Mytilus edulis: one gene and its partners. The protein of the gene in region 2 purifies or fractionates together with the protein of the main gene of each other region. This does not show direct contact. Links are inferred from orthologs where the notes say so. Each region holds a gene or a part of one and is shown on either strand. Other genes may lie near its edges.

Region 1 (7,485 bases), on a different chromosome or scaffold from region 2:
TGTCAAGCAGCTTGTCACACAAGTTTTTATATCATTGCTTGGCACAGTTGAGCTTTATATGCAGTATGTTTTGAAAGGTGACCTGCTTCATACTGTTTCTTTGGTCTGACAAACTTTACCAGTTTCACCTTTCTACCTCTGCTGTGCTTAATGGCAATACAGCACAAAACAGCTGTTCTCAGTAAATGCACAACGTTAAGATATAGCAACAGTGAAAATTTGTATTAAAATTAAAGAATACAGAAAAAGATGACCAAGGCACCCTACCAACACTGCTACTAAGACCCTCTTTAACTTTTCCCATAACTCATGAATCAAAATACCTAAACATATATATTCTTAAGCAATAAGTATGTAGACATATTTTAGAATATGTTAAGTGAGTTAATCAATGTTAGGAAAAAATCAGATTGAGTTATCAGGGGTCAAACTAACTTATAAAGGCCAGTAGCCATCTGGGCTACTAGACTTGAAGATCAGTTAGCCCAGACAAAAAGTCAGTAGCCCACATAATTTTACTATCACCGGTGAAGCCCGCAAAGCGGGCTGAACCTCCTAGGGGGGTTTGGGGGCATGCCCCCCATGAAAATTTTGAAATTTTAGACTCAAAATTTGTTGTTGACTTAAATCAAATTTCATTAAAAAAAATCATTTGCAAAATGGGAATCTTCATACCCTGTGTACCAGATTTTTAAAGACAACTTAAGAATTCTCTCTTCTGGAATACATGTATAGATGATAGATGAAATATTTCATTTTATTTCTATAATAATCTAATTTATCAAATATATTGATCGATTCATTTTGCGTATCAAACTATGTACATTTGTAAACAAATAACCCCCCTTTTTTCTCAAGACTATTTCACATATTTCAAAAGCATTGTCATGAACTTGATATCTTCTTTTTTTGTAAACTGTTCAGTTAGTAAGGAACATATATCATTTTTAACTATAAATGTTAGTGTGCTCGACAATATTCTACTTTCATTTTTTACCTTCATTCTCTGACTCTGTACACCACGTGGGCTTTGAAAAGGTAACTACAAAAGGTACTGTTTTCCAGATTCTTAAGGTGGCTCATGGGTACAAAAATTTCAGCAAAAAATTAAATCTTTATTTTTTCATTACAAATTTTATTTATTACACTATAAGTTATTACTTTATGATATGGTACAAAAATCAACCCAAAAAAACGATTTGGTTTGGCCCCAGATGACTTTTAAAATGTTTATATCATTGAAAAAGCTTCAAATTATCTCCCTCTGGTGAAAAAATGCCATTTTTTGGTATTAAATTTGAAATATCTTTTTAACTCATCGGTGACCTATATTTTTTATTATTGTTTTCAAATAAGCTGTACATAAACTAAATAATTGTAAAATTTAAGCGATTTCTGTAATTAGGTTATTTTTTTATTTTAATATTACCTCTATTTCTCGGATTACATTGTAGCTCAACAGAAAAAAGGACATTAACAAAAATGTATGCTTCTTCCGGAGGCAGATTGTGAGTTAAATGAACGGTGACCCCATTTTTTTATTTCATTTTTCTTTTAAGTATATGATAAAGTTCATTTATAAAAAAATATAGCTAAATCCTATATTAGAAAAAAAAATTGATTTATACCCAGGAGCCCCCTTAACAACATTATATATCATACTTTCTTTTATTTGTCTTATATAACTTCATGACATGCTATTGTCATCTTCCCTGACTTTCTTAGCTTTCTTGAAGCCAAAACCGTGATTGCTTCATATTGTTAATGACCATAGGAACACCTCTCTTGTTATCCTTGCAAACATACGATACATTCCGACTTTAAATAGACGACCAATCAGTGACCTGAATTAACGTGAACTATATTTAATCAAAGGTAAACACTGATTTGACATCCTTATTTATCGCAACCGCGACATTGATGCAATACATTTTAAAAAGATTTTTCCTTTTGAATTTAAATTTTTGTCCATGATGTAGCCAGTACTTGGAGTCATGGTAAATGGCGGATTTCAGTCAGTCAAGTACTTGTTTTCAATTCGCCACCTTGGCTACCACAACTGAGTAAAAAGATCGCCCAGGACAAATTCTAGTTGCACATTGCAAATTGTGACCAAGTTGGCGTTTGCACATTTCTTCAAAGATAATTGCCGACTGACCGATTTTATTTGAATGAATTAATGATGATGGTCATTAGTGACCCATCCGATAAACCGATTACCTTTAACAACAGATTTTGACACCAGTTGTTACCGTTGATTAGCTTTGGGTCGTAAACAAAGCAATAAAATTTAGTAATTAGCATGATTAGCTGATCATATCAATACGAACAAAATAATATAAACAATCCATCTTCAAAAAAAGGCAGGGCACCCTGGAATCTGTAAAAAGGGCACAGGGTGGCACTTTGGAAAGGGCGGGCGCCACACCCTCTGAAAACAGCCTAGCTGGAACACTGCATCATGCAAAACTTGATACAGAAAAGTATCCTATTTTCAAAGAACTATTTCCGACTGGAACAAACTACCTAATAACATTGTAAATTGCACTTCAGTAGACTCTTTCAAAACTTCAATTTCAAAGCATCAATGTTAACTCAATTTAACTATAACATCTTACTTTATTATAAGAACATTTTTATTTTTTATTAATTTTCCGTATTTTTCAATCTATGTCTTGTTGTAAGTTTCCTTCTGTGACATCATCTTCAATTTTTTGAAGGCGGTCACTGTATGATAGAATAGAATAGAATAGTTTATACAAAATCTGAACTTATTTAGGACTACAAGTCCTATTTTTGTGCTACACATACCGTCTTCTTTCAGTTCCTTGGGCATTTGTGGAGGTTTCTGCTTCTTTGCCTTTCTACCAGGACCTTTTTTTGGTCCATCGAGCGTCAAATCTCTCTTTCTACCCATAATTTAGTGCTGAAATTATGAAAAATATTTGTTTCCCCACGTGTTGTGTGTTTTCAATATTTTCACTTCCGGTTGGAAAATATATACAGTGAAACGATGTCGGGTATCTATATTTTCCGGATATTTTACATTAAATAACTCTGATCCATGATCCGTCAGGTTTTGTCATCAACAGTTTGTTCATTTAAATATGAGATCTCTGACAGAACTTTGACAAATAACCTTATTTCAGCGGCTAATGTATGAAATAGACAGCTCAATATAATCAGAGACATATAAGAAGAAGAAGAAGAAGAAGAAGATGCTTTATTTCCATAAAATGGGCTCACAAGGAGCATAATATAATATCATTGTAATATAATATTCTTTTACAAATATAATAAACAACACAAGTTACAAACACAAATAAGAAACAACAGTTATCACATATTAGTATATATATAAAACCTTCGTCTCAGGCACACCTCTGGAAAGTAACAAAAAAGAATACTGTGAGTAGGCTAAATATATCTAGCTGAACTGCAAGAGGCACCTAGGGACGGTGCTATATGGCATGGTGGGTGCATATTAAAATGTGTTTCGGGACATTAATGATATGGTAAGATATTGTAAGAAGTTGCACATAAATGGTATGTCATCCTCGTGCCTGGTGCAGAGGAGTCAGTACTATTTAAAGTGACACAACTGCAAGAGGCACCAAGGGACAACGCTAATTGACATGCCAAAGTGCACAAATTACAAAAAAGATAAAATATTACCAGTTTAATAAAAAAAATAATAATATCGCAAACAAGAAGATAATAGAACTTGTACGATGTGTCCTGTACCCCACCATGCCAACCTTGTGCCTAGTGCAGAAAGCCTGATTAAATATTTATCTTTAAAGTTATATTTTATCTTCATCAATTAACTCACAGACAGATATCAAAATATCAAGATTCTCTACATTAAGAAGCCATATCAGTTTTTGACTAGGAATCAAATGCTTAAAGTTTGGGCATAGTAAGTCAATAGTGGAATTCGAATAATTTCTCTTATCTTGTGATGATGTACATGAGAATAAAAAATGTTTTTCATCATCAACTTCATTTGAGGTGCACCTGAGACATATTCTGTCTTGTCGGAGAGTACCCTGATAGCGACCTTGTTCAATTCTTAGTCTGTGAGAAGAAATACGCAATCGAGTGAAATTTCTACTCTGCTCAGGTGATTGTAATATAGTAAGGTATCTTTCAAGACCAAAATGAGTCTTAAAAGTGCTATAGCTACAAAGCTTCCCATCAGCACAATTGTGCATTTGGTTTCTCCACTGTATTTCATAGTGCTCATACAAGAACTTTTTAATTAAAATTTTGAATCTAAAGTTGCTTGCAAAGGTTAGACTGTCAACCCCATTAATTTTTTTTTGCAAATAGTTTAAAGATCCATACCAAGAGGGAATTTTTGATTCAAATAATAGCTTTTGACTCTAAATATGCATCTTTTAGTAAGGGAAAGGATGAACCCAAATTTTCAAGCCGGTGCCAGTATCTGATCATAGATTTGGTGATATCAAAATGTAAAGGAAATCTCCCAAGTTCTGAAAGAGTGGCAAGGTTTGTTGCTCTTTTCCCCACACCTAGTAATAATTTACAAAATTTCATATGTAATCTATCTGAAAAAAGTTTAGGATAAGCTTGATCAACTGTAGAAGTCTGAGAATTTTTTTTTTTTGAAAGGATTAAAAAAGCCCCAAATTTCCGAACTATACAAAAGAATGGGTTTAATTGTATGATCAAATACATGGAGGCTGTTTTTAATATTGGGATTCAGTGATAAAAAGTCCTTTCGTAGCTTATAGTATGCTTTCAATGCCTTATTGTACAATTCCTTCTGAGCAAAGGAAAAAGATCCTGATGCACTAAATGTTATACCTAAATATTTACAATGTTGAACACAATCTATCAACATGTCATTACAGCTTTTACATTAATGCTAGCAAGACAAATCTTTGTTTGGCTTGCTTGCTTTGTTTGTATCAATGTTTGCTCAAGCATGGCAATTAAGATAGGCGGGGTTTCAGCTTGTATACATCATAATTAAATTTTATTGGACGTTATGTTTGAGGTTAAGGACACTAAATTTTAAAACATCAAATATTCTCACATGTTTCCTTACCTGTAAATATACAATACAGTCAGGATTCTACTTCGTCAAAATTATCTCCCCATTACGGCAGTTCATTTTCACAATCGTAGAAATGGAAACCAATTTTTTTTTCGAACATATGCATTTTCATCATCCAACTTAAAGATTGTCGTCAAATACTTTTAGTATTCCGGTCCCGCCATGAATGGACGGAAAGAAAACAGCAGTCAAAACAACAGCATAGATTGCTAAATAATGATTTGTGAGAGTAAAATGGAATTTGTAGAAAGACAATATGACTGATTTGTAATCATAAAAATCAGATGAAGGTGTTCTATTATCGATATTTATATAAATAACATTGTTCGAAGACCCACGTGGCCATGATAAATAGGTAAACGGACAGAAAGTCACAGGACAAAAAGTCACAGGACATAAAGTCACAAATTTGGTAGGACAAAAAGTCACAGGACAAAAAGTCACAAATAATTTATTGACAATTGTTTTAATATATAAGGATATGTCTTGAAATATTTACTTTTAAATACATATATTCATATTAAAGTTTAGGAAATGTGTCATTATACTTGAAAAATGAAGATTTAATTAATTTTAATCATGCAAAAGATGTTTTTCTTGGCACCATGAAGACATTTAAGTGCCAAGTCACTTTGACATTTTGTTTTTTTAACAATTATTTGATAATCTTTGATATTTTTTTGATATATTTTGTTTAAAAAGTTGGTTTATATACAATAGTTTAAGAAAAATACAAAAATATTTTTGTAGAAATAAGCGTTATTTATTCAAAGAAAATAATCAGAAAAAAATAATTGTGACTTTTTGTCCTGTGACTTTTTGTCCGTGACTTTTTGTCTGTGACTTTTTGTCCTGTGACTTTCTGTCCTACATTCGATAAATATGGATCCGGTGTTTACAAAATTAGAGAAGCTAGACCCAGAGAAAGTTCTGTCCTCTCCTTTTTGGAAAAAACATAATGATATCTCCAAATATAAACTGCCCAGACTACCCAAACAGCCTACTGGCAAAGCCCTACATGCACAATATGAAGATGCCAATAGTGGTGACCTATATATGCCAGGGGCAAAAATGACAGCGTTTAGAGTGAGATCCACCGAAAGATTTTTATCCTGGATTAAAACATTTGCATACCGATATCATTTACAACTAGGGGAACTGAGTGATCACACTTGTATCTGGGTAGACAAAGTAAACAATGATACTGGTCCAATAGTTGAAATTTTCATTCAGATTTTTCAAGGAACAGAACAAGAGACAAAAATTGAATCCAATAAACTTTTAACATTCCACCTTTATCCTACAACATTTGTCATAACTGTGCAGGGTAACCTTCACTCTGTTTGGGCAGAAAATGAATTCAAATATATGAAATCTATAGTAGATGCTAACTGCATTGTACCGTCAGAAAACTTATTAACACATGACCTTGACAGCAGTGATAATAACTACCTACAATTTGTTACAATGCTTGAATCAAAGAATGACGTAAGTCAAACAAATCTCAAAGTCGCCTCTTCGCCTCGAATTATTGTACCAAAATCGCAGTCAAAGATACATACTGACAATGAGAGCATTTGTTTTTCCATTCAGAAAATGGAAGAAAAAATTTGTAGTATGTCAACAAGTCTAGATTCCAATTTAGACAATATGAATTCAAAAATTGAAAAACTCAGTAAATGTGAACAATTGATACAAGACTTGACATTAAAAAGTGACAATCAACCAGCAGATGTCGAACTAAGGCTAGAAGTCTTAGAAAACAAAATTTTTGATTACATAAACTCAAAGTTAATAGAAATAAAACAAGAAATAAAGACATATCCTAAAATAGAAGAGAAAGTATTTGAATTTGAAAACAATCAATCAGCAGCTCTTGAACAAAGGCTAAATGTTTTAGAAAACAAAATTGTTGACTATGTCAACTTAAAGGTAACAGAAATAAAACAAGAAACAAAGACATACTCTGAAATAGAAGAGAAAGTATTGGAATTTGAAAACAAGTTTGAAAAATTTCAAGATAAGTGCGAACATGCAACATTGGTACAACCAAAAGAGAAACAACCAGAATCACAATTTTCTCAAAACAATTATTCTCAACTGATTTCTGAAAATCAATTTCTGCGATCAGAGAATATGACCTTGAAATCAAATTTGAAAATGTTGGAGGAGAAAATTCAATCCTTAATGGAACACAAAAGACAAGATGTTATCCCACAGGTATCAACCTCAAATTCATTCTCCTTACTTGCAGACCATAATAACAACATAAGCAATGACGAAGAAGAAACAGAGCTTAAAGCTCCAATCTCTAATCAACCTCATTGTGAAATTAGATTTGTTATGGATTCCCATGGAAATGGGATAGATCCGAAAAGAATTTATAAAAACAAAGACGCAGA
Region 2 (7,224 bases):
TTAGCTATTAGTTAATCATATTTATCCACAACTCTTAGATGTACATCACTATAACTACAATGCATGCTATATAGTTAACCAAACTTCAGCTTTGTAGCTTTTAAATTACAGTATTTGGGATGGATATTTGGATAAATAATCTAGGACTCAATAAATAAGATTATTTTTTGTTATGTTTATCTATTCAATTTTGGTGTAGTAATTAAGAACATAGTGTTCTTTATCAATATATTACTGGTAAATCCTCTCTAACATTAATTTCTTCAACCTTTTGATTGAGTCACATGCTCATGAACATTAAGGAAATACATTGTACCATTAAGGGAAGTGTAGACTTAAGGAGAAATGCAACATACACCATTTATGAAACAATAGAAAGTCCTGAAATAAATCAAATTTCATAAAATCATAAGAATGAAAACAGGAAATCTGATAATGAATCTGTATTCTGAATCATTCTGTTTATCTAATTATAGATTTGTTACTAATAAAATACAGTAGTTTTTATCAGATCTTGACAAGATACTGGTGTGTTACAATAAAAACAAATGTTTATGAAAAATAGACATCTGTCTACTCCATCTAAATCTAATATAATGGAAACGTAATTAATATGTAAACAAAAAACTGAACATAACTTCAATTCATGTTTGACCATGATAGTACATACAGTTGTACTATATCACCATAGGTTTCTTACTACTGTACAATGTACATGTACAAATGTATCTAAAAAATAAACTCAAAATGTATGCAAAATCTAGAATATTTCAATGAAGCTTAATATACAAATGTACAGGTCATACATTGTAGTGACCTATCTTTTAATATACACCCCTTTTTTACACTTCCCTTCAGTCATTAATTCACATATAAATGCAAATTCACTTTAGAAGATTGAAAATTTATCTGTATATCAAACAAACATTTAGCAGTATATATTTAAGGCCAGTTGATTGATCTTCATAATCATTGATTTCTAGCTCTTAATTCTGGGTTCTCCAGGACTCATGAAAATCTGTCTACACTCATAAACATGCTGAATTGTATGCGAGAAATTTCATAATTTTTCTTTATTTCAAAGATGTATTCAAGTTATGATGTATATATATGCAAAAGATTTCAAGAATTTTAAGAGTCAGTCCTGGTATGCATTACATTTAATAATATCTTAACCTAAAATTCATTTTCTTGAAAAATCAGGCAAAAAAAACAAACTGTTATATAAATTCAATATAATTATCTGCCATTGATTGTAAACTATTTTTTCCGAAAATTTTTAATACAATATACATTTATTGACACTTAATTTTTATAATAGTGTAATACTTATATTTACTTTAAGTATTTGATGTTCTTATTTTTTTTTAATGAAACTTGACTGAAATATTTTTAGACCAAAAAAAGTATTTTTGCGACATGACATTGAGCCAAAGGAATGCTCAGGATAAGACATCTGATCTACCATGAGCACATATGTACATATACTCATTCAATACCACATCATATGCACATTGACAGATAGAGTATTGGACAAAAAACATAATTATTCATAAAAATAAGGCGAAAACTTTAATCTTATGAAAATGGTTTGTGTTTTGTGGGGTGAGTCAACTTTTAATTTGTAAACATAATTTTTATTAAATTTAATACCTGTATTTTTAACTCAGGACTGTCATCACTTTAATTTTTATAAACAATATTAGGTTTGAGTTAATTACTGAGAGTAAAACAAAACACACTAAAATCTGGTTTTGAAGTTCAATTAGATTTCACTATAATCTTTTCAGAGTCCTAGCTACATGTGTATATATGGTATAGTAATTTCTGATGAGTTTTCTATTGGCCTTTAGCAGCTAAATTAGCTTTACTGCAGTTGAGTAATTATAGTAAATGATATTTGACTGCTAGACTATGCAGTGTGAATGAATAAAATAAAATATTGTAAGGTACCACATCAAAAGTTCAATGTAGGATAAAACACTTTTAAATTCATATAGTTTTTTCACTGACCCCCCTCCCCCTACCCTTCTCTTAACTTAATTTGTAAAAATTGATTAAACAATAAGGATATATATATGTAAAATCAATGTCAATTAAACAAAACTTGCAGCAATTTTGACCCCACCCCCAAACTATTTGAATTATGTTTTTTATCCTTCATTGATCTTTTGATGTCATCCCTAATTGAACGCATTTCTGAAATTTTATAAGGTTGTTAAATTCTTGACAGCAACACATTTTGTTGAAGCACACAAAAGCTTGAAACTAAAAAAAAATCTGCATGGTCATTTCTACATGTACACTTTGATTGTATTTTGAACTTCAAGACATTGTTCCTAATACCCTTTGAAATGAATTTCAAAAAATTTGTACATGAGAGCACTCACAAAACTGACACACCCACATGATGGATGGAGGGAAGCCTAGGGCTGTATGCCCCTATGTTTCTGGTTACAATTAATAAAACCCAATAACTCGGAAATGTAAAATGTAAAATCTATAAAAACCAAAAGGGAGCTTACGTCAACAGATATATATTAACTATCAAAGTTTCATGAGAACTGCTGCAAAGCATTTTTTAGTTATTATCTGGAAAATCCCCCCTTTTTTAATTAATAAAACCCTGTAAACTGAAAAATCCCCCTTTTTGGATGAATAAACCCCACAACTCGGAAGCGTAAAATCTAAAATTTATAAAAAAAAAAAAAAAAGGGAGATTACGTCAATATATATAAACAATTCACCAAAGTTTTATTCAAATTGGTTGAAGCGTTTTTGAGTTAATGTCCGACATGTTGTAACAGACAGACAGACAACAATATGCTATAATTCACCAATTCATATATTATACATTTCGTAATTTTCCATTGGTTTGGTTGTATAAATATAAACAGATATGTTACATTTTAGCCATTGTGAATACTTCTGATAAAAATTCAGATCACAGTCTGTGTCAGTGAATTTAAAAGACCACTTTTGAGTATGTCTGTCACCGTGAAAAACTTGTCAATTATGCGCGCTTTTATGACGTCATTTACCAGATAAAGGGGACAACCTGTATCTCTGCACTATAAACATACATCAAGTATCTTAGTGATCTTCATTGTGCAGGATATATATATAATCACTATTCACTAAGGACAGCAGTGCTGAAAGACAATTATGAGAGTTCAATTTGCAGAATAATTCGTGCAATATACCGGGTAGCTTTGTAGTTGTCCAACCACTCGCTCAACATTGGAACAGAAGTGAAGAAGCCCCTAAACGCATGAATGATGTTTACTAAAACCAAAAATTTGACAGAAATGCATTGAACTGTGGTCTATTATTTCAATTCACATTTCTCAAAATTTGATTGTTTGAAACTTTATTTTTTAGAAATGAAATAAGTTCTAGGGTCTGGGTTTAAACTAATTATAATAATAATAATAATTCTTTATTTAAAGAGGTTTACACAGTTAGCTAGGGTAACTGGATCCACATATATAGTTTTATTAGACCTAACTGATAACGCCTGCACCATATGATTATCAATAGACAATTTTCAAGTTAAATGTATGCCCTTATCCGGAAATGTTCGATAATCATAAGCACCTTTATGACGTCATTTACCAGGGGGATTGCCTGTATCCCTACCCTTATAGAGTTCATCAAGCATCTTCATGATCGTCATTTTTCAGGATACACTAGAAATAATGGTTGTTTTGAAGGTACTTTATCACAATTCCCTAATGACAGCAGTGCTAATTGTGAATTATAAGAATTCAATTTGCCAAATAATTCGCCTAATTTTTTCTAAAGCTCACATGGGAACATGTCTGTTTTAAATACTGATCTTCGCTTATTCTTTATTTTATAGCATGGCACATTACAGATACAGATAGATCTAGGCTATAATTTCAGTGTTAAGAATGGTAAAAATAAATAATTGTCATTTTATTTATAATCTAACTCACCTTCCTAAATTTTGATCAGCGAGTTGTTTCGCTCTCATAAAATTCTTGCGAAGATTCTCTGGCTTAAACATTTTGATAGTACTAATGCCTAAGCATTTAGGGATAAAATATAACTAATTTATGTAGGGTTCATGATTGCAGTCCGTCAATGTTGTGTAGGAAATTGATTCTGCAATATACTTCCGGGAGAAATATTTTGTAAAAACTGTTTTGATTGGTTTAAACTTTTTCAATTGACTAATCAGTGTTAGTCTATTATTTATCGTTGGATGTAAACAGAAGATGGCAGACCTCGTGGAAAAAGTTTTGAGAGAAGCAGCTGAAAAGGAATCAAAGTTTAAAACTATAGAAGTTGAAAAAGAGATTGATGTCATTATAGATGAAGGAAATCTCCTTGTGTGTGACACAAATCCTATTGATTTTAAATTACAAAAGTAAGAGGACCTCCATAATTTTCAAAAGTAACTCAGTAACACTAACACTTACATGCATGAACAGACTAACTTGTTCTTGTATCATGTTTATATTCTATGGTCAAAAGTCGGAGTGTCTTTTTACGACAGAACACCACAGAATACCACAGAACATAAAAACAAACAACAAAACAACTTAAATATGCAACATAACATTAAAATAACTTAACAAAATGCATGAACTAATATTAATTAGACGGTAAATCTAAATTTCATCACCGATTGCAAACCGCATATTAGTCCGAGATTACTCTGACATATAACGGCTGTTTTGGCAGACAAGCTGGGGCCGTGGGACGTCAGAGCTCGTCTCATATCAAAAAGTGGATATTTGCCCACCCAAAATAGATGCGGTACCTCGAATGACTGAATAACACTGTTAATATCCGAATAACACTTGTAATGACCGAATAACACTTGAAATTTTAATATTAGCAACATATTTGTGACTTTTAAACATTGATTATTAAATATTAGTACATTATCGATGTATTTTGTTACTTAAAAATGATTTATAGAAAGCAGAAAAGTTCTCAAAAAACTTTTAAAATTTAGTGTGTACATCCAATATGGTGACCACGGAAATCACAATGGCCGCCATGATCGATGTACACACGAAATTAAAAATTATCTTTATGCACTTATCTGCTGTCTGTAAATCATTTTAAAGTTATAAAATACATCGATAATATATTATCATTAAATAATCAATGTTTAAAAGTCACCAATATGTTCTTATATTAAAATTTTAAGTGTTATTCGGTCATTACATGTGTTATTCGGTCATTGTGTTACCCAAATAGATGCGCTACTTCGTCGCTTCTGGTGCAGACTGGTGGCCTTGGAATTATATAAAACGGGCATCAATCAATCTGTTCATTTTTCATTTATCTCTTCATTTATGTAAGTTTCACCTACCTGCCACCCTTTATTTTCTCATATTTAGACAGATTTCACAGTAGAAGTTCTATATGGGCTTATGATGTCGTTCTTGTATAACCAGTGATTTCAACAAATAAACACAATGTTTGATTAATATCTTTATTAAAACATGCCCTTTTCATATTATGATATCATATCACTTGTTAAATGCCCTTTTTCAGGATTGGAACCCTGCCCTTTTAAAATCCTAGCTGGAACACTACCTATGATCTACCTTAAGTCTTCTGCCACATGCATTGATGTCACCAATACTTGAAACTAATCTTCAACACCTGGCGTAATCACCAATTAGCCAAGAATTAAGGTTCATCATAACCTTTTGGCTAAAATGGCTGTATTTACACCACAAATTTTACTCTGAGTATAGACACACCTGTGCACCTAAGTCATGGCTGGACCTAGATAATTAAATTTTAAATGCATTTTTATGGTTCAGAAAATTATAAACTTTTCTGGATTTTGCTCTTCATTCTTTTTTCATTCCTGCAGCAGGTGCAAAAATAAACTAAGTTGGTAAAAAGTTTGAGAAACTCCCCTCATATAATCGATGTTGTGAGTAGTATTGATTTAAATGGACAATATATTGACGATAGACACCTGTAAACAATGTAACTTTTATATATCTAGGCCCTGCCATGCCTGAAAACTTTCTTAGATGCATCAGTTTGTCTGTATTTTGATGAACCTTAAATAATTTAAAAAAAGTTTTAAAGCCAATTATATTGAGTGTGTAGGTAGAGGTAATATCTTGTCTATCTTCATCAAGAGTTCTCATGTCACTCAGGTGTGTCGATCTACCTGTACAAGTAATAAGTGATCTTTAGTTGATATCCCTCAGGGCTTGGAAAATGTAATCAGGAGTACCCTTTGGATTATAATACAATACGCCTACAGATTAATTATTCATAATTGCTAACAAAAATGGCAGTGGGTAGAAAAACAAAAACTAATTTTGACAATGAGGCAGGGGTGTGGAAATATTTGTTGTGAGCACTTGTCCCAGGGCAAGTGAAACCTAAAATTTTACTTGTCCGTAAAAAAATTTACTTGCCCTGATGATCCCAATAAATATTGAAGTATTTCTTGTTAGCTAATATATGATTCTAACTTAGACTAGCACTGTTGTGCATCACAAACAAATGAAATCTATTTGTTTATATGCATGTGTAAAAAATTAGGAAAGTAGGAAATGGGTTAACATCAATAGGACAGCCTGAAACCTAACAGCAAACCAACCAATGAAATGACATGTAAAGGACAATATTACAGCAGTTTTTGAATAAAAATTGTAGCCAGTAGGTACATATACTAAATTTGAGGACAGTGATTGAAGAAATGTAAACTAAATAATAGATAAACTATTAATTTTGTAGTGTTTCTCTCAACTGACACACTTGTTTTTTTCTTGATTATTTATTATTGTCTTGATGGGCAATTAAAGCGTCCCTTCTTTTACCACTTTGACAACAAATAATGTTGATCTTTCATCTATAAATAAGACAAAAACTTAATTTTTTCCCCAAATTTCCATAGCCAGGGGCAATCTGATATCCACGATGTCTGAAATTCTCGCTTCCATTTTTTTTTAAAATAATCTGTGTCCTCCATTTACATTTAAGGTTTTCTACTCGACTTATAACTCTTTTTGTCTTGCTTGCCCACCTTTTTATTAAGTATTTATAAATCAATCTGAATCTCGATACAAAAGGAGTAGGTCCGGTAAGGACCGAATTTGGCCTCAAATTTCATGTTCATCTGACGAAAGATTTTGACCACTTTTTAAACACTTAAGTGTCTATTTTATTTGAATTAATTAGTTTATGTGAAAGATTTTAACAGATTTAGTCATT
Region 3 (7,944 bases), on a different chromosome or scaffold from region 2:
ATTTCACATTTATAAATGGAAATACAAAATAACCTGGCATTGTAGTAAGATTAATATATAATTGTGATAACTGTAGAGTTTTAGGATAATCCTAGTTGATTTGAAAAACTTATAAACATTATTAAAGTTGACTATCAAAAGTTTATTTCGACCTGAAAATTCCAACTTTTTTACTTTTTGAGGGAAACTTTAAATTTCACATTTATAAATGGAAATACAAAATAACCTGGCATTTTAGTAAGATTAATATATAGTTGTGATAACTGTAGAGTTTAAGGGCAATCCTAGTTGATATGAAAAAGTTACAAACATTATTAAAGTTGACTATCAAAAGTTTATTTCGACCTGAAAATTCCAACCTTTTTAATCAAATACAGTATAAAAACACCATTTATTAAAAACCAGCCTCGCTAGTTGTTATGGACATCTGACCTGTAAAATACAGTATAAAAACACCATTTATCAAAAACCAGCCTCGCTAGTTGTTATGGACATCTTACCTGTAAAATATTGTATAAAAACACCATTTATCAAAAACCAGCCTCGCTAGTTGTTATGGACATCTTACCTGTAAAATACAGTATAAAAACACCATTTGTAAAAAACCAGCCTCGCTAGTTGTTATGGACATCTGACTTGTAAAATATAGTATAAAAACACCATTTATTAAAAACCAGCCTCGGTAGTTGTTACGGACATCTGACCTGTAAAATATTGTATAAAAACACCATTTATCAAAAACCAGGCTCGCTAGTTGTTATGGACATCTGACTTGTAAAACACAGTATATAAACACCATTTTTCAAAAACCAGCCTCGCTAGTTGTTATGGACATCTGACCTGTAAAATACAGTATAAAAACACCATTTATCAAAAACCAGCCTCGCTAGTTGTTATGGACATCTGACCTGTAAAATATTGTATAAAAACACCATTTATCAAAAACCAGCCTCGCTAGTTGTTGTGGACACCTGACCTGTAAAATACAGTATAAAAACACCATTTATCAAAAACCAGCCTCGCTAGTTGTTGTGGACATCTGACCTGTAAAATACAGTATAAAAACACCATTTGAAAAAAAACCAGCCTCGCTAGTTGTTTCGACACCTGACCTGTAAAATACAGTATAAAAACACCATTTATTAAAAACCAGCCTCGCTAGTTGTTATGGACATCTGACCTGTCAAAGACCAGCCTCGCTAGTTGTTATGGACATCTGACCTGTAAAATACAGTATAAAAACACCATTTGAAAAAAACCAGCCTCGCTAGTTGTTATGGACATCTGACCTGTAAAATACAGTATAAAAACACCATTTGAAATCAAAGCCTTAAAGGCTGTAAAAGCAATTGCTGCCATGTTAATGTTTGGGGACTTTTATTTTTCATCCACATATATACAAGAATTAAACCTGACATGAGTGTTGTCTAGTTAAAAGTAAGAAGGTTTTAACTTTATATAAATAAAAGACTTTAGCAGAAAGTCATTTTTAATATGTTTTATATTTCACAAGGAGACAACACGTTTAATTACCAGGCTAAAGTTGGGGTCAAATATACATGTGCTGAAACATATAACTCAAAAAGAAATCATCATGGATTATCCCCTGGTAGTGTATGTAACTTCCTTGGCAATAATTTCCTTTATTGATTTAATTTTAACAATTTTCATTATTAATTTATATTTAACCATTAACACAAATGATTAAGTTAAAACATTTCAACTTTCCAGACGCAAATGTTAAAAAACGGGAAAGAAATAAAATATCTTACAAGACATAAACATGTAAAGAATAAATGTATATTTCAGCTTAATAAAAATATTTTCATAATGTTACTTTGTCATCATTTTTAAAACTAAGTTCCAAACATTATTGCTCAGTTGATGTGTGTCCTTCTGATGCGGTACGAGCACAGGCACTTGTTTCTATCCATAGGAAGGTCGATTATCCATATAAATAGTTTTATATGGATAGTCGACCTTCCTATGGATAGAAACAAGTGCATGTGGGTACGAGATAACTACAATTCTCATGCGATCCCGAAAAGGGGGGTCATCACAGACAAACATGACATTAAATCGTTATCACTGAACTAGTATATATATTGTATAGGGGCCAGCTGAAGGACGCCTCCGGGTGCGGGAATTTTTCGCTGCATTGAAGACCTGTTGGTGACCTTAATTCTGCTGTTGTATGTTTTTCTATGGTCGGGTTGTTGTCTCTTTGACAAATTCCCCATTTCCATTCTCAATTTTATTATACGAACAACAACAAACAGCTCTACGTTGCTTTGATATTTATCAATTTTCAGGAAACATTGCGAAAAATGATCTTCAATATTTCGAAAACATGTGAAATAAAATTGCTAACACGGTGGACCGTCGAGTGTCAACAAACGTAGTAGACTTGTTCACTGAATAGACGAGGATAATGGTTTCATCTGACATTTGTTATGCAAACCCAGTTTTGATCATGATATTTAAAAAGACGTACTTTTTTTCAATCTATGTATTAATAAACTAGAAAATTCCAAATTGTAAATATCTCTTCATCTGGACCGACTTGGCATCTACTATGGACGGGTCCATTTCATTAGTAAGGTGATCGATAAATATTACGGAGTTTTGACAGAAAAGAAAAACGAACTTATTGTTGTGTGTTTTCAACAAGGGTTTCGTTCCGCTAAATTATTTGCGCAAATAAAGTTTGTCTATTTTTAGATTACAGGTAATAATTTGACACTACGCATTAACCTGTGTAGTGATTTTGATTTTACGATAAATGTATGAATGAACGATAATTTTATGAATGAACAAGAGCACCTGACCTCTTAAAGAAACACAAATTAAACATAAAAAACCGTATTTATTAGGAGATAATTCAGTTAAATTTTCAATACTAAATCAACAACTGAAATGAATCCATATTTTGTTGAAACATCGTACGAACGGCGGAAAACGGAATCGCATTTATAAAAATGTATTTTTTTTTACTCGGACTTCTATGTTATTTGATAGTCAAACGGTTGACCCTTTAAATACAAAAATACATCTACAAGAACATATTCTGAAACTTCTTAAATCCACTAACTTTTTTTTAAAGTTTCAAGCTATGTATTGCATTAGAAAACATACATAGGTGTTAAAGAATGACTGACCAGGAGCCTGTTTAGCAAAATACTATGGCTTGATCTGGGCGGAGTCTCTGATCTGGGTCACAAAGATGGCCATACGCGACGGCATAAAAGCAATTGCTTTAAAAAACCAGTCTCACTAGTTGTTATGGACATCTGACCTGTAAAATATTGTATAAAAACACCAATTATCAGAAACATGCCTCGCTAGTTGTTATGGACATCTGAACTGTAAAATACTCTAGTCTTATTCTATCTCCAACAAAAAAGAGTTCAAAAAGTAGGCGTGTTTTATTTCAAGTAGGCGGGACCAAAATCCTGCCTCGCTAGTTGCCGGCCTCACTAGTTCCGAAATAGTGCTCACTGTAAAATACAGTATAAAAACACCATTTATCAAAAACCAGCCTCGCTAGTTGTTGTGGACATCTGACCTGTAAAATACAGTATAAAAACACCATTTGAAAAAAACCAGCCTCGCTAGTTGTTTCGACACCTGACCTGTAAAATACAGTATAAAAACACCATTTATTAAAAACCAGCCTCGCTAGTTGTTATGGACATCTGACCTGTCAAAGACCAGCCTCGCTAGTTGTTATGGACATCTGACCTGTAAAATACAGTATAAAAACACCATTTGAAAAAAACCAGCCTCGCTAGTTGTTATGGACATCTGACCTGTAAAATACAGTATAAAAACACCATTTGAAAAAAACCAGTCTCACTAGTTGTTATGGACATCTGACCTGTAAAATATTGTATAAAAACACCAATTATCAGAAACATGCCTCGCTAGTTGTTATGGACATCTGAACTGTAAAATACTCTAGTCTTATTCTATCTCCAACAAAAAAGAGTTCAAAAAGTAGGCGTGTTTTATTTCAAGTAGGCGGGACCAAAATCCTGCCTCGCTAGTTGCCGGCCTCACTAGTTCCGAAATAGTGCTCACTTAACACGGGTCAGCCATTTATCGTCCCCTTCCGACGGACTATCATCGTTTCCTCGAGACCATACTCACAAATGGTGTCAAGGGAGAGTCGAAAATTCAGTTCCTGAAATTTTCATCCCAGACGGGAATCGAACCAGGAACCTTTGTGTTAGTAGTAATGTTTGATATTCTGACGAGAAAAAAATAATAAATTTTACTGTATATCAGAACTGACTAGATTAAGTTGCATTTTTTTTTAACTTTTTAATAGCAGACAGTCTGAGTGATACAGTGTGCTTTTAAGTGTAGGTTTTTTAGTTTGTGTTATTTGTTTGAGATTTTTTTGTTTGCTTGTTCAACTTGAAAATTTGTATCACCGGCACTTGTCTCTTATAAAAAAATACATATACAATGAATTATCATACAGTGGGCTTTTAAGCCAGTGTAGGTTTTTTTGTTTGTGTTATTTGTTTTGAGATTTTTTGTTTGCTGATTCAAGAAACATATGCACTTTTCCTTCTTTCGTAATTCCCTCATGTTTAGTAGCACTCGAAAATGACCGAATAATCATAACAGTATTTTTACACAATAAATCCTCTGTAAAATATGAATGACCAGTATCCTCCACCATAATATATTCTGGCAGTGTATATACAACAAGTCGTGAGCCAGTTTATATATAAGCACATGTCTCTAAAAGAAAAAAACAAATATATACAATATATTAAAGTATATGCAAGGTTTTGTATAAAAAGGTGATCAGATCTGTTTGACATGTTTGACCCATTGTTTGTCTTATGCTCGGTCTTATGTCCGTATGCGGCGAATCCAAAGTAAAGTTTATCTTACTAACTTATTTTCCGAAAAATTCGTTGTCTGTTCCGTCATTCAGTTTTGTATTTAGAAACATTTATATATTTACAGGAAATGACGTAGTACACACAAAAATCGGAAACCACGTTTTTCAATGTAAACAGATTCAGTTCATCAAATATCATTTAATATGGGCAAGAAAAGTAAAACAGGAAAATCCAGAAAAGACAAATTTTACAAACTAGCTAAGGAAACAGGTAATCATCATTTTTCAAATATAGCTGAAATAGTTTTCACTATAGATATTCTTCAATGATCAACCCCCACCTTCTTCTGGTTCATCAAAATTATTTATATTTTGAAGTTTGTCTATTTTCTTATTATTGGTACAGCTATCTTATAGAAGAGATAGAAGAAGAAAATGGGGGGGGGGGGGAATTAGTTGAGGTATCCATGGTAGTCTGTGGAGTTCAAAAAGTGTGGTGTTATAGACTCTCCTTTTCTGTTTTCTGTAGATATGTGGACTCTTTATCTTTTGATTTGTTGAATTAATTTCTGAAATACAATATTCAGTTCACATTTATCACGATAAAAGACAAATTAATAAACTTTTGGGGTGTTCAGTGTTGTTTGGCAGTGTGTGGTGGTGTTCGTTGGTGAAAAGACCTACTGCCGCCTTCTTCTTGTCTCCGTATAAGCATCCTTTATAAGAATCACCACCATGAGTTATGGGTATAAAGGAAGCATTTGAAGCCTGTATCGGTACAGATTAATGTGAGCATTTACCTACCCAATTTCCCAGCCAGGCCGTGACTGGGTCTTATTACCAGAAAGTTAACCTTCCCTAAACATAATACAATATAACAAAATAAAACATACATTTGTACTCATCAATAAAACACTACACTTTTGAGTCTTCTCTCAAATTAACTCGAATACATCGAAGCTCATGAAAGCAAATTCTTGCTTTGGTAGAGTTAGGCAATGAGAATTTAGAGAGGTCATGTAGTTTTATTGTGTCTGCCCACTGATTCACTTTCTATTCCAATCAACAAAGCATTATTCAAGATTTGGTTCTAAAAAGAATCCAATAAGGCAGGTTACACTCGTTTTGATGATATTTGTATGGGTTTCTTCTTTGATTTAAAAATACAAGTATATCTGGTTACCTGACTGACTTTTACTATGGTCAATTTGCATACTCCCATTGAACAAGGCCATAAAAAAGAATAGGTTTGTTAGCCCAAACCCTACCTACAGTACGGGTAAGGACTTATTTTTATGGATGTCTTAATCCGTCTAGATGTCAGACTGGTGGACAGTTGTCCCAGTGTAATAAACACCTGCTGTGCAATACTCAAGTGGAAGGTCGTAAATCAATCTGTACCAGCTTGATTAGAATTAAATTTTACCTGTACAGATATATTAGTATTTATGGAGGATAGATAAATGTAAAATATTGTTTTGTATTCAAAGAGAAAGAATTAAAATTAAAATTAAATATAAGAATTAAAATTAAAATTAAATATTAGAATTAAAATTAAAATTAAATATAATTTTATTTTTTTTATAATTTGAAAATGAAATAAAGACGATTTTTAACAATATATATTGTGTTGCCAATTATTTCAATAGTTTTGTGCCAATAATCTATTTTGTATTTGTATTTGTAAACCGTAAATATTTCAGCTAATTCAAAATAATAAGCCTAATAACAACCAAGACTGTTTTCAATAGAAGTTTAAATCAAATTGTTGAGACTTCAATCCCGTAAATTATACGAGTTTTCATTGATGGTTATATTATTTCCCCCTTTTAACGTCCTGTTCCTTTATATGTTATTATTAGAAACTCAATTTTAAGTATAAGGCCAACATATCGTATTTATAAAATATGTATAGGCATTGTGAATTAAGTTATTTTCCTTTTGATACAACTTTCCCCGTCGGAGCCTCTACATCTATTCACACCTGTCAATCATTTCTCGCAAGTGAAACATTTTGGTCAGACAGATCACTCGTGCTTTCTATTTTGACATATTTCCCGTTAATCTCTTTGAAAGTCAAACAATTGGTTTCTTTTAATACAATATTTATAACGCCGAGATTATATTTCGATTCCTATTTTTTTTTTTTAATTTTAAATTGTTGACACTCGAGATAATGCCTTTCTATTTTCATGTCTTAAATTTTTTATGAAAATCGCCGGTGTTATAAATATATTTTACAAATTGTATCAAATCGATACACGAAAATCAAAGTTTAACCTTATATAGTTTATTGAATAAATGCACATTCATACCCCAATGGGGTTGAAGGCTAGTAGTCGTACTAGTCGTGATCAGCTGTCTTTACTTTTTCGTCGTACTTCTATTCATTCTAAAGCTCGCGCAGTCAGTATGATTTTTTAAATCGATGTTGTATTATTTCCGAAGTTTAAAGGAGGTCTCCAAATAGATTATTTAAATGGGAATCCAGGAAATGACTGATAAAAATAAAAATAAAATAGTTAAAGAAGACTAAATCTTGTTTCGATTATACATGTATGTAAATCGATTAAATTTCTATTCTGGTAAATCGATCAAGAGCCTCAAAACTAAAGCACAATACTGTCAATCATTCCACATCAAATTTAATCATGAATGGATTTTCCCACGGACGTTCAGTAAGGTCACCTGTGTTAACTGTTACGACATTTCCCGCCATATAAAAATCTCGTGCAGTGGACAAAATCGATCTTTAATATCTTTTATTAGCATTCAATATTATTGTGAGTGGAGCCAAGTTAAAGTTCAACCACGTGCACACGCTGTTGATCACTGATATGTGTATCATGGAATTGTCTTTTCATGGCAATTTTTTCTTTTAGATTGCTATAAAAAAAATATAACATACAAGTTTCCTTCTTAACATGGATTGTGCATAAATTAATATTATGCAATTAAGATTTTGGGATTAACCCTTTCAGGATCTGGGAATTCTTTTTTCGCGATGTCGGGATTTAAATTTATTTAAATTTCGGGATCTTGGGACTTTGTGTTTTTAAGCCCGAGATTTCGAGATCCGGACCCCT

What was found. The genes of interacting proteins can lie anywhere in the genome.
Region 1: the proteins of ribosome biogenesis regulatory protein homolog (region 2) and uncharacterized protein fractionate together in Homo sapiens (co-fractionation; 3 studies listed by BioGRID and IntAct, with this or other methods). This does not show direct contact. The link is inferred for Mytilus edulis from reciprocal best matches to the Homo sapiens genes RRS1 and NOP2.
Region 3: the proteins of ribosome biogenesis regulatory protein homolog (region 2) and pre-rRNA 2'-O-ribose RNA methyltransferase FTSJ3-like purify together in Homo sapiens (affinity purification with mass spectrometry; 3 studies listed by BioGRID and IntAct, counting the BioPlex papers as one, with this or other methods). This does not show direct contact. The link is inferred for Mytilus edulis from reciprocal best matches to the Homo sapiens genes RRS1 and FTSJ3.

Annotation. Positions count from the first base shown.
Region 1 is NC_092356.1:37,575,945-37,583,429, reverse strand, and holds the start of uncharacterized protein, read right to left. Parts: upstream 3,003-7,485; 5' UTR 2,918-3,002; coding exon 2,812-2,917; intron 1-2,811. Other genes in the region: putative leucine-rich repeat-containing protein DDB_G0290503, read left to right, coding at 5,428-5,438, 5,968-7,485. UniProt on the Homo sapiens protein: S-adenosyl-L-methionine-dependent methyltransferase that specifically methylates the C(5) position of cytosine 4447 in 28S rRNA. Required for efficient rRNA processing and 60S ribosomal subunit biogenesis.
Region 2 is NC_092352.1:17,453,011-17,460,234, forward strand, and holds the start of ribosome biogenesis regulatory protein homolog, read left to right. Parts: upstream 1-4,202; 5' UTR 4,203-4,241; coding exon 4,242-4,393; intron 4,394-7,224. Other genes in the region: rho GTPase-activating protein 44-like, read right to left, coding at 3,960-4,030. UniProt on the Homo sapiens protein: Involved in ribosomal large subunit assembly. May regulate the localization of the 5S RNP/5S ribonucleoprotein particle to the nucleolus.
Region 3 is NC_092349.1:66,464,834-66,472,777, reverse strand, and holds the start of pre-rRNA 2'-O-ribose RNA methyltransferase FTSJ3-like, read left to right. Parts: upstream 1-4,942; 5' UTR 4,943-5,062; coding exon 5,063-5,129; intron 5,130-7,944.